Callithrix jacchus: one gene and its partner. The protein of the gene in region 1 purifies or fractionates together with the protein of each later gene. This does not show direct contact. Links are inferred from orthologs where the notes say so. Each region holds a gene or a part of one and is shown in the gene's direction. Other genes may lie near its edges.

Region 1 (6,117 bases):
TTTATTTAATGTCTATTTATATTTAATGTCTATATTTATATTTCAGTCCATGTTGATAAGTTTTACATTTCTATGAAGCCATATATTTCATCTTAAGTTTGAAAATGTATTGGCATAAAGATGTCTAACATGCTGTCTTACATTTCTTTAAATCACCACTGTGGTTATATTATTCTTTCCAAATGTTTATTTTCTCTCTCCTTTTACTATCAATCTGGTTGATACTCTGTTGTCTTACATAACTTTCTCCTGTTTATTACTACCTTTTCTCTGTGTTCTTTGGCCTAACTCTATTGGTCTTTTCTATATTACTCAAATTATTTTTCATGATCAGTGGTACAGCACTTGCCAGTATTTCCAGATTCCTCCTTCTAGGCTCAGGAGAAGATTACACCTCCCTATCCTAGTAAAACTTGGCAAGGCCAACTGACTAGCTCGGGCCAATGATAGATGTCACTTTTGATGGAAACATCTAAAAACCTATGCATGGGGAAACAATGGTCTTTTCAATAAACAGTGCTGGGTCAATTAGATATTTATATGGAAAAAACAAATTGTGACCGCCCCCCATAACAATCATTTCCAGATGGATGGCAGATATAAATTTGAACAATCTTGGTGAGAAAAGATTTCTTTTTTCCTTCTTTTTAAAAATAGAGATGGGGTCTTGCTCTGTTGCCCAGGCTTGTCCTAGGCTCAAGTGATCCTCCTGCCTCGGCCTCTCAAAGTGCTGGGATTACAGGCCTAAGCCCAGATAAGATTTCACAAACAGAGCAGAAGAACACTAAGGTAAAAGGGGAAATGACAAATTGGCACATATTAATATGAAAAACTTTTGTTCCTCAAAAGGTATCATTAAGATGGTGAAAAAGGCCAGGGCGGTGGCTCATGCCTGTAATCCAGCACTTTGGGAGGCTGAGGTGGGTGGATCATGAGGTCCAGAGTTCGAGGCCAGCCTAGCCAATATGGTGAAATCCCATTTCTACTAAAAATACAAAGATTAGCCAAGCATGGTGGCATGCACCTGTAATCCCAGCTACTCAGGAGGCTGAGGCAGAAGAATCACTTGAACCCCAGAGGTGGAGGTTGCAGTGAGCCGAGATTGTGCTACTGCACTCCAGCCTGGGTGACAGAGTGAGAGTCCATCTCAAAGAAAAAAAAAAAAAGGTCACATAGGCCAGGCGCAGTGGCTCATGCCTGTAATCTCAGCACTTTGGGAAGCTGAAGTGTGTGATCACCTGAGGCCGCAAGTTCAAGACCAGCCTGGCCAACATGGCAAAACCCTGTCTCAACTAAAAATACAAAAAGAAAAAAAAAATTAGCCAGGAGTGGTGGTAGGCGCCTCTAATCCCAGGTACTCCGGAGGCTAAGGCAGAAGAATTACTTGAACTCGGGAGGTGGAGGCTTCAGTGAGCCGAGGTTGCGCCATTGCATTCCAGCCTGGACAATGAGAGCTAAACACCATCTCAAAAAAAAAAAAAAAAAGGTGAGGAGATAATATATATATTATACACACACACACACACACACACACACACACCGGAGTATATGCATTACATGTAATACTCTCCTCACCATCATTTTTTTCTTCCAGCATATGGATTACAAAGATCTTCTCCCACTGGAAGAAAAATTAGTATTTACCATGTAAAAAGGCTTCCTACACATCCGTATGAAAGACATAGAACGCCCGTCCAGTAGAGAAATAGAAGCCTCGGACACTGCACAAGAGAAGATACCCTAATGGCCAAAAAACACAAGGGAAGGTTCTCAGTTCATTAGACTTCGGTTAATGCAAATTAAAATCAACACGTAATACCATTACTCATCCAGCACAATGGCTAAAATAACTAAGATGAACAGGACACCACCACGGACTCGCGAGGCTGAGTGGTAAGTGTCGCGAGACTGAAGAGTGGGTGTCGCGAGACTGACGAGTGGGTGTCGCGAGACTGACGAGTGGGCGGCGCAAATGGTCGAGGTGTTCACTCGCCATTTTGTGTGAGGGACGCTGACGCTACACACGCCTGGCCTGGCCTCTCCCCACTGCAGCCCTGGCCGCTACCAACATGAGCCTCCCGGAGAGTCCCGGCAGCCCCTCTACTCTCGACCATGTCCTGGAAGACCCGCACCAGGGCCAGCGGCCCGGAGACGAGAGTGAGGCAAAACAGGTAATGGCGGAGACAGTGGAGAGCCGCTTGGAGTCAATCTTGCTCCCACCGCCACAGCTTCCAGAGGAAAGGGTCGCGCCTCAGGATCCCACAGATTGTGGCGATACTCTCCACATCTTGGTCAATGGGGGTCGCGGTCATGGAGCCATCAACGCGGGGCAGGAAGTGACTCCACTACCCGCGGAGGGCCGGGAAACAGCCTCTGCCTCCGCGGCAACTGACGGCAGCCTTAAAGATGGCTTTCAGGGTGAAGAGAGGCGCGGCCCAGGTGGGGAGAAGGCTCTAGAAACCTGTGGCACAGGGAGGTTGGAGTCTGAAGTGATTGCAGTGGGGAAGCCCGAGGACCTGGAGCCTGAAGAGTGCGCCATGCTCTCAGCCCCAGCTGATGAGAAGGCCGGAGGCACAGAAATGGACATGGCGGAAGGAAACCGCGCGACAGATGAGGTAAACATGGAGGCAGGGCCTGGGCCCCTCAACATGGATCTCCATCTGAACCCCCTGGAGGCCATCCATCTGGAACTGGACTCCATGAATGCCGAGGCTGACAGGGCCCTCCTGCAGGTGGAGCGCAGGTTTGGGCCGATACATGAATACTACCTGGAGCGGAGGAATGACATGATTCGCAGTATCCCGGGCTTCTGGGTCACAGCTTTCCACAACCACCCACAGCTGTCTGCCATGATTAGAGGCCAAGATGCAGAGATGTTAAGCTATTTAACCGATCTGGAAGTGAAGGAGCTCAGACACCCGAGGACAGGCTGCAAGTTTAAGTTCTTCTTCCGAAGAAACCCTTACTTCAAAAACAAGCTGATTGTCAAGGTGTATGAGGTCATATCCTACGGCCAAGTGGTGTCTTTTTCCACTCTAGTTATGTGGCGCCGGGGCCATGGACCCCAGTCCTTCATTCATAGGAACCGACATGTCATCTGCACCTTCTTCACTTGGTTTTCAGACCACTGCCTTCCAGAGTCCGACAGGATTGCTCACATTATTAAAGAGGACATCTGGCCGAATCCACTGCAGTACTACCTGTTGCATGAAGGCGCCCATAGAGCTAGACGTCGCCCGGTAAGGGAGCCAGTGGAGATCCCGAGGCCCTTTGGGTTCCAGTCTGGTTAACCTTGGCCTTTGGAACTGCTCCCGCAGAAGGTCTCCTGCCACCACCTGCTGGACCTGTGCTTGGGCAACAGTATTAGGTATGCCCTTTCCTGTTTTTGTTCTGACTTTTCTGTACTCTGTTTAAACTTTCCGTTCTCTCACCCTGAAGATTGAGACCTTGGTGGCTATGCTGCTCCCCTTTCGCCTGGTCTTCTTGCTGTTCTGCATTAACATCATAGGCTCCCAGCCGATGAGTCACATCCTTCTAAGCGAAGGATGCTGTAGACTGCACTGTCTTTACCTTTGTTTGGACTCTGTTTGTTCCCAGGACCTCTGGTCTGGCTCCTCCTACCTGGATTTCTAGCTGTGTCTAAGAATGTATTCTGCTCACCCTGTTCTGCATATGACAGTACAGGCGGCCTGTGGACAACTGCTAGGCATTGATGAAGTCAAGGAAGAACAGCAGGGGGCAGCTTGGTCTGCGTGAGTCATGGGACTCCCCATTACTTTTCCTGAGACTCTGGTCACTGATTGCTGCCTGCTGCTGGCTATGCCCACCACCTTGGGCAGCTCCCTGCTAAGTGAACATATTCCAGACCATTGCCAGCTCTACTCTCTGGTTTCTAATAAACAGGGATCTCCGGAACACTGGTGGTGGACACAGGTTTCCTGTCAACACACAAAAGACCCGTTCCTCTACCAAAAGATCTTTGAATTCTTCACCACCATACCCTCGTCACCCAGAAATCCTACTGTCAAACAAGTGGTTGAGGGGACATGATAGACCCTATCCTCATGGCAAGGGTAATATCTTGACAAGTACCAGGCTTTCTCAGCCACCATCAGTGGCCTCATTAAAATCTAGGTACCTTTATTTGCCTCCTTTCCTGTACCTAATAAAGTGCCAGAGTGGGTGTACACTTTCTTTTCTCTCATCTCTCTTCTGTCTTCCTTTTTTTTTTTTAAGTGGTAATTATGAAATACCCACAGAAGCAAGCCTTTTAGTTTCTTGGCTCTTTTTGTCATGTCCAGGGCCTCCCTCATCTATCTCTTCTGTCTTCCTTTTTTTTTTTTTTTGAGACGGAGTTTTGCTCTTGTTACCCAGGCTGGAGTGCAATGGCGCAATCTTGGCTCACCGCAACCTCCGCCTCCTGGGTTCAGGCAATTCTCCTGCCTCAGCCTCCCGAGCAGCTGGGATTACAGGCACGCACCACCGTGCCCAGCTAATTTTTTGTAATTTTAGTAGAGACGGGGTTTCACCATGTTGACCAAGATGGTCTCGATCTGTTGACCTCGTGATCCACCCGCCTCGGCCTCCCAAAGTGCTGGGATTACAGGCTTGAGCCACCATGCCCGGCCCTTTTTTTTTTTTTTTTTTTTTTTTTTTAAAGTGGTAGTTATGAAATCTCCGCAGAAGCAGGCCTTTTAGTTTCTTGGCTTTTTTTGTCATGTCCAGGGCAGGCTCTTCTATAAAATACACTGCCAAATCTCTTATTGCCCACTCTTTCTTTTCAGCCCCTCACCCCTCTTTAGCAATTCCTAGAGGTTTTAAAGGAATACAGAGCTGGATGGAATGAAAGGTGATTTCTAGTTGAGAGTGGATGGAAGAACTAAAGAGATTGTGATGGGTGCTCTAAGCATGGAAAACTGAACAAAAAGGCAGAGGTGAGGCAGAAATGATTCAGGGGAAAATTGGGCCTAGAATGAACACTGGGTTGACTTGAGATCCTGTGAGGAAGGGGAACTTACTCTGTTAGTTATAATGGGAAGAGAAGTACTTTTTTTTTTTTTGTATTGGGATAGAAGAATAGAAGATGGTTGGAATGTTAATTTATGTTGCCTAGAGAAGGGTTCTTTGAATACACACTGCAATTTTGGGTATCTTCTTTCTTGTTTGCATGTGGCCTTATTTATGTAGAAGATTAATACTGTGTTGTAACACTTTCTTTGTTTCTGTTTACTGGGAAGATTCAGCTGTGCAGAGTTACTTTCAATTTGGAACATTTGGAATAATATCGGTCTTTCTTTTTTGTACATTATAGAGACTTAATGTGGATATTCATGACAGTTTTCAGCCTGGTCTTGTTTCTGTTAAAACCATATCTTTAACATATTAATTTGAATAACCTGGTCTTAATCTGATGCAGAAGACTGGAAACTGTTGTGTTCATGGATAAATAAATTACAAAAAAATTTATGGTTCTTATTGTCTTTGTTGATAATTTATCCTGGTAACAACTTAGTAATTAATATGCCTGTTTTGTTTTGTTTTGTTTTTTGAGACGGAGTCTTGCTCTGAACCCAGGCTGGAGTGCAGTAGCGTGATCTTGGCTCCCGGCAACCTCCACCTTCTGGGTTAAGCAATTCTCCTGCCTCAGCCTACCAAGCAGCTGGGATTACAGGCGATCAGCACCACGCTGGGCTAATTTTTGTATTTTTAGTAGAGACAGGGTTTCACCCTGTTGGCCAGGCTGGTCTGGAACTCCTGACCTTGTGATCCACCTGCCTCGGCCCAAAGAATGGAACTGCTTGTGAGACTGCTTTGTGAAATTGGAATGATACCATTGGCATATTTGTCTGATTCCATTAAGTCAATGGCATCTTTCCTTATAAATGGATGATGGTAAAATTAAAGCTTGTTACTGAAAAAGAAAATGATGGAAAATAACAAAGGTTGAATGTAACAGAGATACCAGAAGGCTCTTATACTGCTTATGGGAGAGTAGCTTTGTACAAATACTTTGGAAAGTTGTTTGGCAGTATCAGTACACACCCTCTGATTTAGCACTGGGAATATACCCAACAGAAATCTATACATATATTCACACAAAGATGTGCAAAAAGCGTT
Region 2 (6,353 bases), on another chromosome or scaffold:
ATTATTAAAATTCCATTTTACAGATTAGGGAATTGAGACCCAGCATTTCAATAATTTGCCCAAGATTCCAGTTAGTGAGGAGCTGAGGTGGGATTTGAAGCCCAGGTCTCTGATTCCAAAGACCATAGTCAGTGTGCTGCACTCCATTTAATTGTGTATTTCCCTCATTTCAAGACAGGGGATAGCACAGTAGAGGGGGCAGACTAGGATAAATGTTCAACAGCAAGAGCGACCCCAAAATATAAATCTGATGACCTTCTTTTGCACTTAATCTAGATTGTTTACTAACAACCCTCCTCACCCCCAGCTCACTGCTCTTTGTCTTCAAGACAATAAGAAAATCTCTTCTTTCCTACAGCATTTACCTGAGCTGCACTTAGATCTCTCAAGTTTCTTCTCATTCTTCCCATGCTAACCTCTTTATATCCTTTAGATCACAGATTGTCACTTGTTCAAAGAGGCCTTCCTTGGCCATTCTATGTAAAATAGATCTCTGGTATTTTCCATGTCTGCCACTTATTTCTTAACATTTATCAAATTTTGCAGTTACCTTGTCAGTTTACTTTCTGGTGTTCTTCCAATATTATGCCCCATGGAACCAGCCACCTTGAGTCTTGTTTGCCTTTGATTTCCCAGAGCTGTGCTGTTCGGTACAGAAGCCACCAACCACATGTGGCTACTGACAGCAAATGTGGTGTTACCTTATTTCGATGTGCAGTTACGTATAAAATATGCACTGGATTTTGAAGACTTGGTATGAGAAAAGAATGCATAAGATCTGGATTTTTTTAATGTTGAATACTTGTTGAAATACTTGGATAAATTGGGTTAAATACATAACTAAAATGTTCAATTGTTTCTTTTACTTTTTAATCGTGGCTGCTAGAAGATTCTAGTCTACGTGTGACTCACATATTTCTAGGTTCTGAGACAGTGCCCTGGCCCATTTTATTGAACGAAATATCCAATCTCGAGAGGTCGAATGAATGGGTGAATGAAGATGTATAGTCTCAAGCTTCCATTAGAAAAATAGATACAGCATTGCCGTAGAAGTTTGGAGATACGGGTTCTGGCTCAGAATGTACTGGAAACGCCTTGGACAAGCCCTACCCTACTCTGGCCGTCAATTTGCCCATTAGATAGTATCTTTGAGGTCTGGAAGCTTGCTAGAATCAGTGGAAGAGAAATGCATCAGGAAAGCTTGATAAAACGGCACTTGTCGTTTCCGCTCTAGCCTAAACACTTGAGGCTCGGCAGAGGCAGCGGGAATCAGGGACTACACCCCGAGAACCCAGTACCCGGGTCCCCGACTTCTCCGAGCCTACGTCACTGGGGCGCGACGGCGTTGTCCTCGGGATTGCAGCGGCTGAGAAATTCCATTCGGTGAAGGCGAGTTCCGGGCCAACAGAGGGTCACACCATTTCCGAGTCTCTCGGAGGCTCAGTTCTCAGTGCACCATCACCCACCGCTCTCCCTTTTACTTCACCCCTATCCGACTCTTGGCCCGGACCCTGTGAACCCCGCCCGGAGCGTCCAAAGCCGAGTCTCATCGCGGCTGCGCAGGGCACGTGCACAACCTCGCAGAAGTCTCGGCGATTGGCTGTGACGCAATTTCCGGCGTGAGCGGCGAAAGCCGGGAGGGCGAGCGAGAGTGCGACCAGGCAGCAGGCTGCCGGCGGGCGGGCGGGCGGCACGGAGGGAGGGAACGAGCGAGCAGTGAGTGAGCCAGCGAGGGCGGCCGGGTCCCGAGGTCAGCCGAGATTCCGCAGGTACCTCTGGCCCCCTCCCCGGAGTCCACAGCGCCTCCGGTGTCCCGCGGATCGGACACGGCCCGGCCCGGCCATGGCCTCGTTGCTGAAGGTGGATCAGGAAGTGAAGCTCAAGGTAGCGGCGCCAGTCCGGCCTTTTTGCCCCTCACTTTGATCCCCCAGTAGTCTGACCGGCTTCCTACTCCCCATGGCGTCTTTGTCTCCCTGGGGATACCAGCTCTGAGCTTCCGCTCGGCTCAGCCCAGCCCCCAGCTCCTGGGGTCGGCTTCGCGGGAGAAGAAAATATAGGATGGCTTTCTGTACCGTGTCTGATGATGAAGAGTCCCGGGGTCACCTCCGCGGACACGTGTTGGACTCAGGGCTTTAGGCCGGTGACAGCTGGAAATCCCCCAGCCCAGCAACGTCCCTGGGCACTGCCCCTGCCCTTGGTGGTCTGCCTTGTATCATAGGCCAAGTCTGGGTGGGGATTGGCACGTTTGTGAGCTCACATCTCCCCTAACTACCTGTCTTTTGTCTGCTTATGAAATTCAGACAGCTTCAGACACAGGGAGGGTGGGAGGGAGAGGAGAGGAGACAGGCAGGTGCTGCCCTCAAGCCCTGCGTCCTTCTCCTGAGATGGAAAAATGGGTCCTCAAAAAAATAAAGTATTTGCAGTCTGGGGGCCTCTCAGCTTCATATTACAGTTACAAGGTGAGGGAAAGACAGTTGGATTTGGGATTCTCTATCCTGCTCTTACCTCTGTCCCCAGGTACTCAATTGCTCTCTTTGTTAATTTTAGGTTGATTCTTTCAGGGAGCGGATCACAAGTGAGGTGAGTGAAATAAATAGAAAAATGGGTGTTGGTTAATTGAGAGTTTCCCAAAGAGGAGATATCTATATAGAGAGACCTTCCCACAGATACTAATTCAGCTGTATTTTCCCTCCTCTTTAGGCAGAAGACTTGGTGGCAAATTTTTTCCCAAAGAAGTTATTAGAACTTGATAGTTTTCTGAAGGTGAGAGACCCTTTTCTTTCCTCAGATTCCCCAATTTTTTTGGCCCTGGTATTACTGTCAAGCGGGACAAATTGTGTGTTGAATCTTCTTCTTTTTATTTTTTTAAACTGTAAAAGCACTTTGATTTCTTGCCCTTCAAATCAAATACTTCTTTGTTCAACTTGAAAAGATTAATGTTTTGGGGTGGGTGTCTTTCAGGAACCAATCTTAAACATCCATGACCTAACTCAGATCCACTCTGACATGAATCTCCCAGTCCCTGACCCCATTCTTCTCACCAATAGCCATGATGGACTGGATGGTGTAAGTGTCCTATGTTTATCTTTGTGTTCTTGAGCAGTCGGTCCTCTGTCCTGTTTCCTTGTCAGTTCAACATGTACAGAGGCAACAGTGGGATTTGGACCTGGGAACTAGGACTCTGTTATAGACATGCTGACTCTAGTGTACTCCTTTTATTTCTTATTTATTTATTTATTTTTGAGAAAGAGTGTCACTTTTTTTTTGCCTGGGCTGGACTGTGGCAGCTCAAGCACTGCTCACTGCAGCCTTGACCTCCCGGACTCAAGCAATTTTCTTTCCTCAGCCCCCCAAGTAGCTGGGACTACAGGAGTACGCCACCATGCCCAGCTGATTTTTGTATTTTTTGTAGAGACGGGGTTTCACCATGATGTCCAGGCTGGTCTCAACTCCTAAGCTCAAGCAATCAGCCTACCTTGGCCTCCCAGAGTTGGGATTACAGGCGTGAACCACTGCACGGGGCCTCTCGTATATTCCTTTTAGACCCTGAGTTTCATTTATGACATGAAGTCAATATGCTAATGCTATTTTCAGTGTTAGAGTGAGTTTCAAATAAAAGAAAACTAGCTTTATCAGGTTACCTGGATTTTCCCATGGCTCTGAAGAAGACTTTACTTACCTTTTTTCTATGTCCTGAGTAGTATTACGGGATACAGAGTTGTTCTTGCTATATAACTGCAATCACCGTCTTTGCTCTACATTTTTAACACCTAGTCCTTACCAGTCACATGTTCACGTGCTGTTAGAACACTGATGATACTGTATTCTTGTCTGTAGTACTGCCTCACTGATGGAACTTGTATATCTGGAAGGCAGGATCTATCTTCTTTTTTTTTTTTTGAGACAGAGTCTCACTCTGTTGCCTAGGCTAGAGTACAGTGGTACGATCTTGACCTACCTACTGAAACCTCTGCCTCCGAGGTTCAAGTGATTCTCCCGCCTCAGCCTCCTGCGTAGGTGGGGTTACAGGTATACACCAACATGCCTGGTTAATTTTTTTATTTTTAGTGGTGACAGGGTTTCACCATGTTGGCCAGACTGGTATCGAACTCCTGACCTCAAGTGATCCGCCCACCTTGGCCTCCCAAAGTGCTGGGATTACAGGCATGAGCCACCGTGGTCCAGCTGGAAGGAACTATCTTATTCTCTGTATTCCCAGTGCCTAGTGTTGATCCTCATCTATGGCAGTTGCTAAATACATGTTTGTTGACTGAATAATGTGTTCCTTTGTGGAACCAGCAGATTTGTACATATTCCCTTAATTATCCTCCCTGCTTTGATTGGTTCTTTTTTCCTATTCTTTATAATACTTAATGTATTGTATTTCTGGAAAGATTGGTCTTCCCAACTAGAGCATAATTTGCTTTGTGGCAAGAACCTTTTCTTTCTTTTTTTGAGGGGGGACAGAGTCTCACTCTGTTACCTAGGCTGGAGTGCAGTGGCACAATCTCGGCTCACTGCAGCCTCAAACTCTTGGGCTCAAGCCATCCTCCTACCTCAGCCTCTCAGGTAACTGGGCCTGCAGGTGCATGTTCCATCATGTCCAGCTAGTATTTTTTGTGGAGATGGGGTTTCCCTACATTGCCTGGGCTTGTTTCAAGTAATCCACATGCCTCGGCCTCCCAAAGTGCTGGGATTACAGGCATGAGCCACGGCGCCCAGCCCAAGAATCTTTTCTTTTTCTTTTTTTTCTTTTTTGAGAAGAGTTTTGCTCTTGTCACCCAGGCTAGAAGACAGTGGTGTGATCTCAGCTCACTGCAACCTCTGCCTCCCAGGTTCAAGCGATTTTCCGGCCTCGGCCTCCCAAGTAGCTGGGATTACAGGCGCCTGCCACCACACCTGGCTAATTTTTCATATTTTTAGTAGAGATAGGATTTCACCATATTGACTAGGCTGGTCTTGAACTCCTTACCTCAGGTCATCCACCCACCTGGGCCTCCCAAGGAGCTGGGATTTCACATGTGAGCCACTGTGCCCAGCCTCCGAGAACCTTTTCTTAAAGCTTTATATGTACTTAGGAAATTGTACAGAAATTAATAACACAAGCTGTGAGGCTGAGGAAGGGATTAAACTTGTTTGAAGGGTATCTTGTGATGGAAATGTGGGTGTCAAAAGCAGGCTCATCCCTGCCTCTTTGTATCCATAGCCCACTTATAAGAAGCGAAGGTTGGATGAGTGTGAAGAAGCCTTCCAAGGTAAGAGCCACCCTTACCTCCTCTCCCCTCACCTCACCCCTGACTTGCAGCCCTGAGAAGCAGGATGGATATAGTGTTCTGACCAGGAAGCAAGATCTAATCTTATTTCCCAGAAGCAGCATTCCCAGCTCCTCCAAACGTGCTCGTTATTTAGTGTTCCTGGTTTTCCAATAAACAGAGTTTAAGCCTTCTGTCCTATTTTAGATGTGCATCTGTTGTTCTTTTGTTCCATCCATTCTCATTGATTCTAATAGTGGTGTCATGGTAGGGTTGTGACAAATGGAAGGCAGAGGTCGTAGCATGTGATCGGTATAGAGAAAATGAGAAAAAATTAGGGGATACTGTGTCCTTTCCTCTTCCCTGATCGTTTGACCTTCGTATCTCTGCCAGGAACCAAGGTGTTTGTCATGCCCAATGGGATGCTGAAAAGCAACCAGCAGCTGGTGGACATTATCGAGAAAGTGAAACCTGAGATCCGGCTGCTGATTGAAAAATGTAACACGGTGAGGCACAGGCTAGTGACCTATGGGCCACCCCCAAGTACAAAAAACGGTGTAGGGGTGGTGTGGGAATTGACAGACTAGGTTTTGTGTGTGTGTGTGTGTGTGTGTGTGTGTGTGTGTGTTTTGAGATGGAGTCTTGCTGTGTCACCAAGGTTGGAGTACAGTGTTGCCATGTTGGCTCACTGCAACCTCTGCCTTCTGGGTTCAAGGGAGTCTCTCGCCTCAGCCTCCCTAGTAGCTGGGATTACAGGCACCTGCCAACACACCCAACTAATTTCTGTATTTTTAGTAGAGACGGGGTTTTACCATGCTGGGCCGAGCTAGTCTCAAACTCTTGACCTCAGGTGATCCACCTGCCTTGGCCTCCCAATTTGTTGGGGTTACCGGCGTGAGCCACCGTGCCTGGCCAGACTAGGTATTTTGACTTCTCTGTTCCTGGCATCTGGCCCCAGCAGTCTGAATTGTGTACTTCATGGCTTCAGCCTTCAGGCACAGGTCCTCATATATGTTTTGGCATCCAGGTCAAAATGTGGGTACAGCTCCTGATTCCCAGGATAGAAGATGGAAACAACTTTGGGGTGTCCATTCAGGTAAT

The links.
Region 2: the proteins of TSPYL6 (region 1) and PSME3 purify together in Homo sapiens (affinity purification with mass spectrometry; 3 studies listed by BioGRID and IntAct, counting the BioPlex papers as one, with this or other methods). This does not show direct contact. The link is inferred for Callithrix jacchus from reciprocal best matches to the Homo sapiens genes TSPYL6 and PSME3.

Annotation. Positions count from the first base shown.
Region 1 is NC_133515.1:60,261,747-60,267,863, forward strand, and holds the start of TSPYL6 (testis-specific Y-encoded-like protein 6), read left to right. Parts: upstream 1-1,991; 5' UTR 1,992-2,069; coding exon 2,070-3,290; 3' UTR 3,291-6,117. Other genes in the region: ACYP2 (acylphosphatase-2), read right to left, coding at 1,645-1,740.
Region 2 is NC_133506.1:121,060,151-121,066,503, reverse strand, and holds the start of PSME3 (proteasome activator complex subunit 3), read left to right. Parts: upstream 1-2,298; 5' UTR 2,299-2,384; coding exon 2,385-2,459; intron 2,460-2,547; coding exon 2,548-2,580; intron 2,581-2,700; coding exon 2,701-2,763; intron 2,764-2,961; coding exon 2,962-3,066; intron 3,067-5,206; coding exon 5,207-5,255; intron 5,256-5,645; coding exon 5,646-5,758; intron 5,759-6,279; coding exon 6,280-6,348; intron 6,349-6,353. UniProt on the Homo sapiens protein: Subunit of the 11S REG-gamma (also called PA28-gamma) proteasome regulator, a doughnut-shaped homoheptamer which associates with the proteasome. 11S REG-gamma activates the trypsin-like catalytic subunit of the proteasome but inhibits the chymotrypsin-like and postglutamyl-preferring (PGPH) subunits.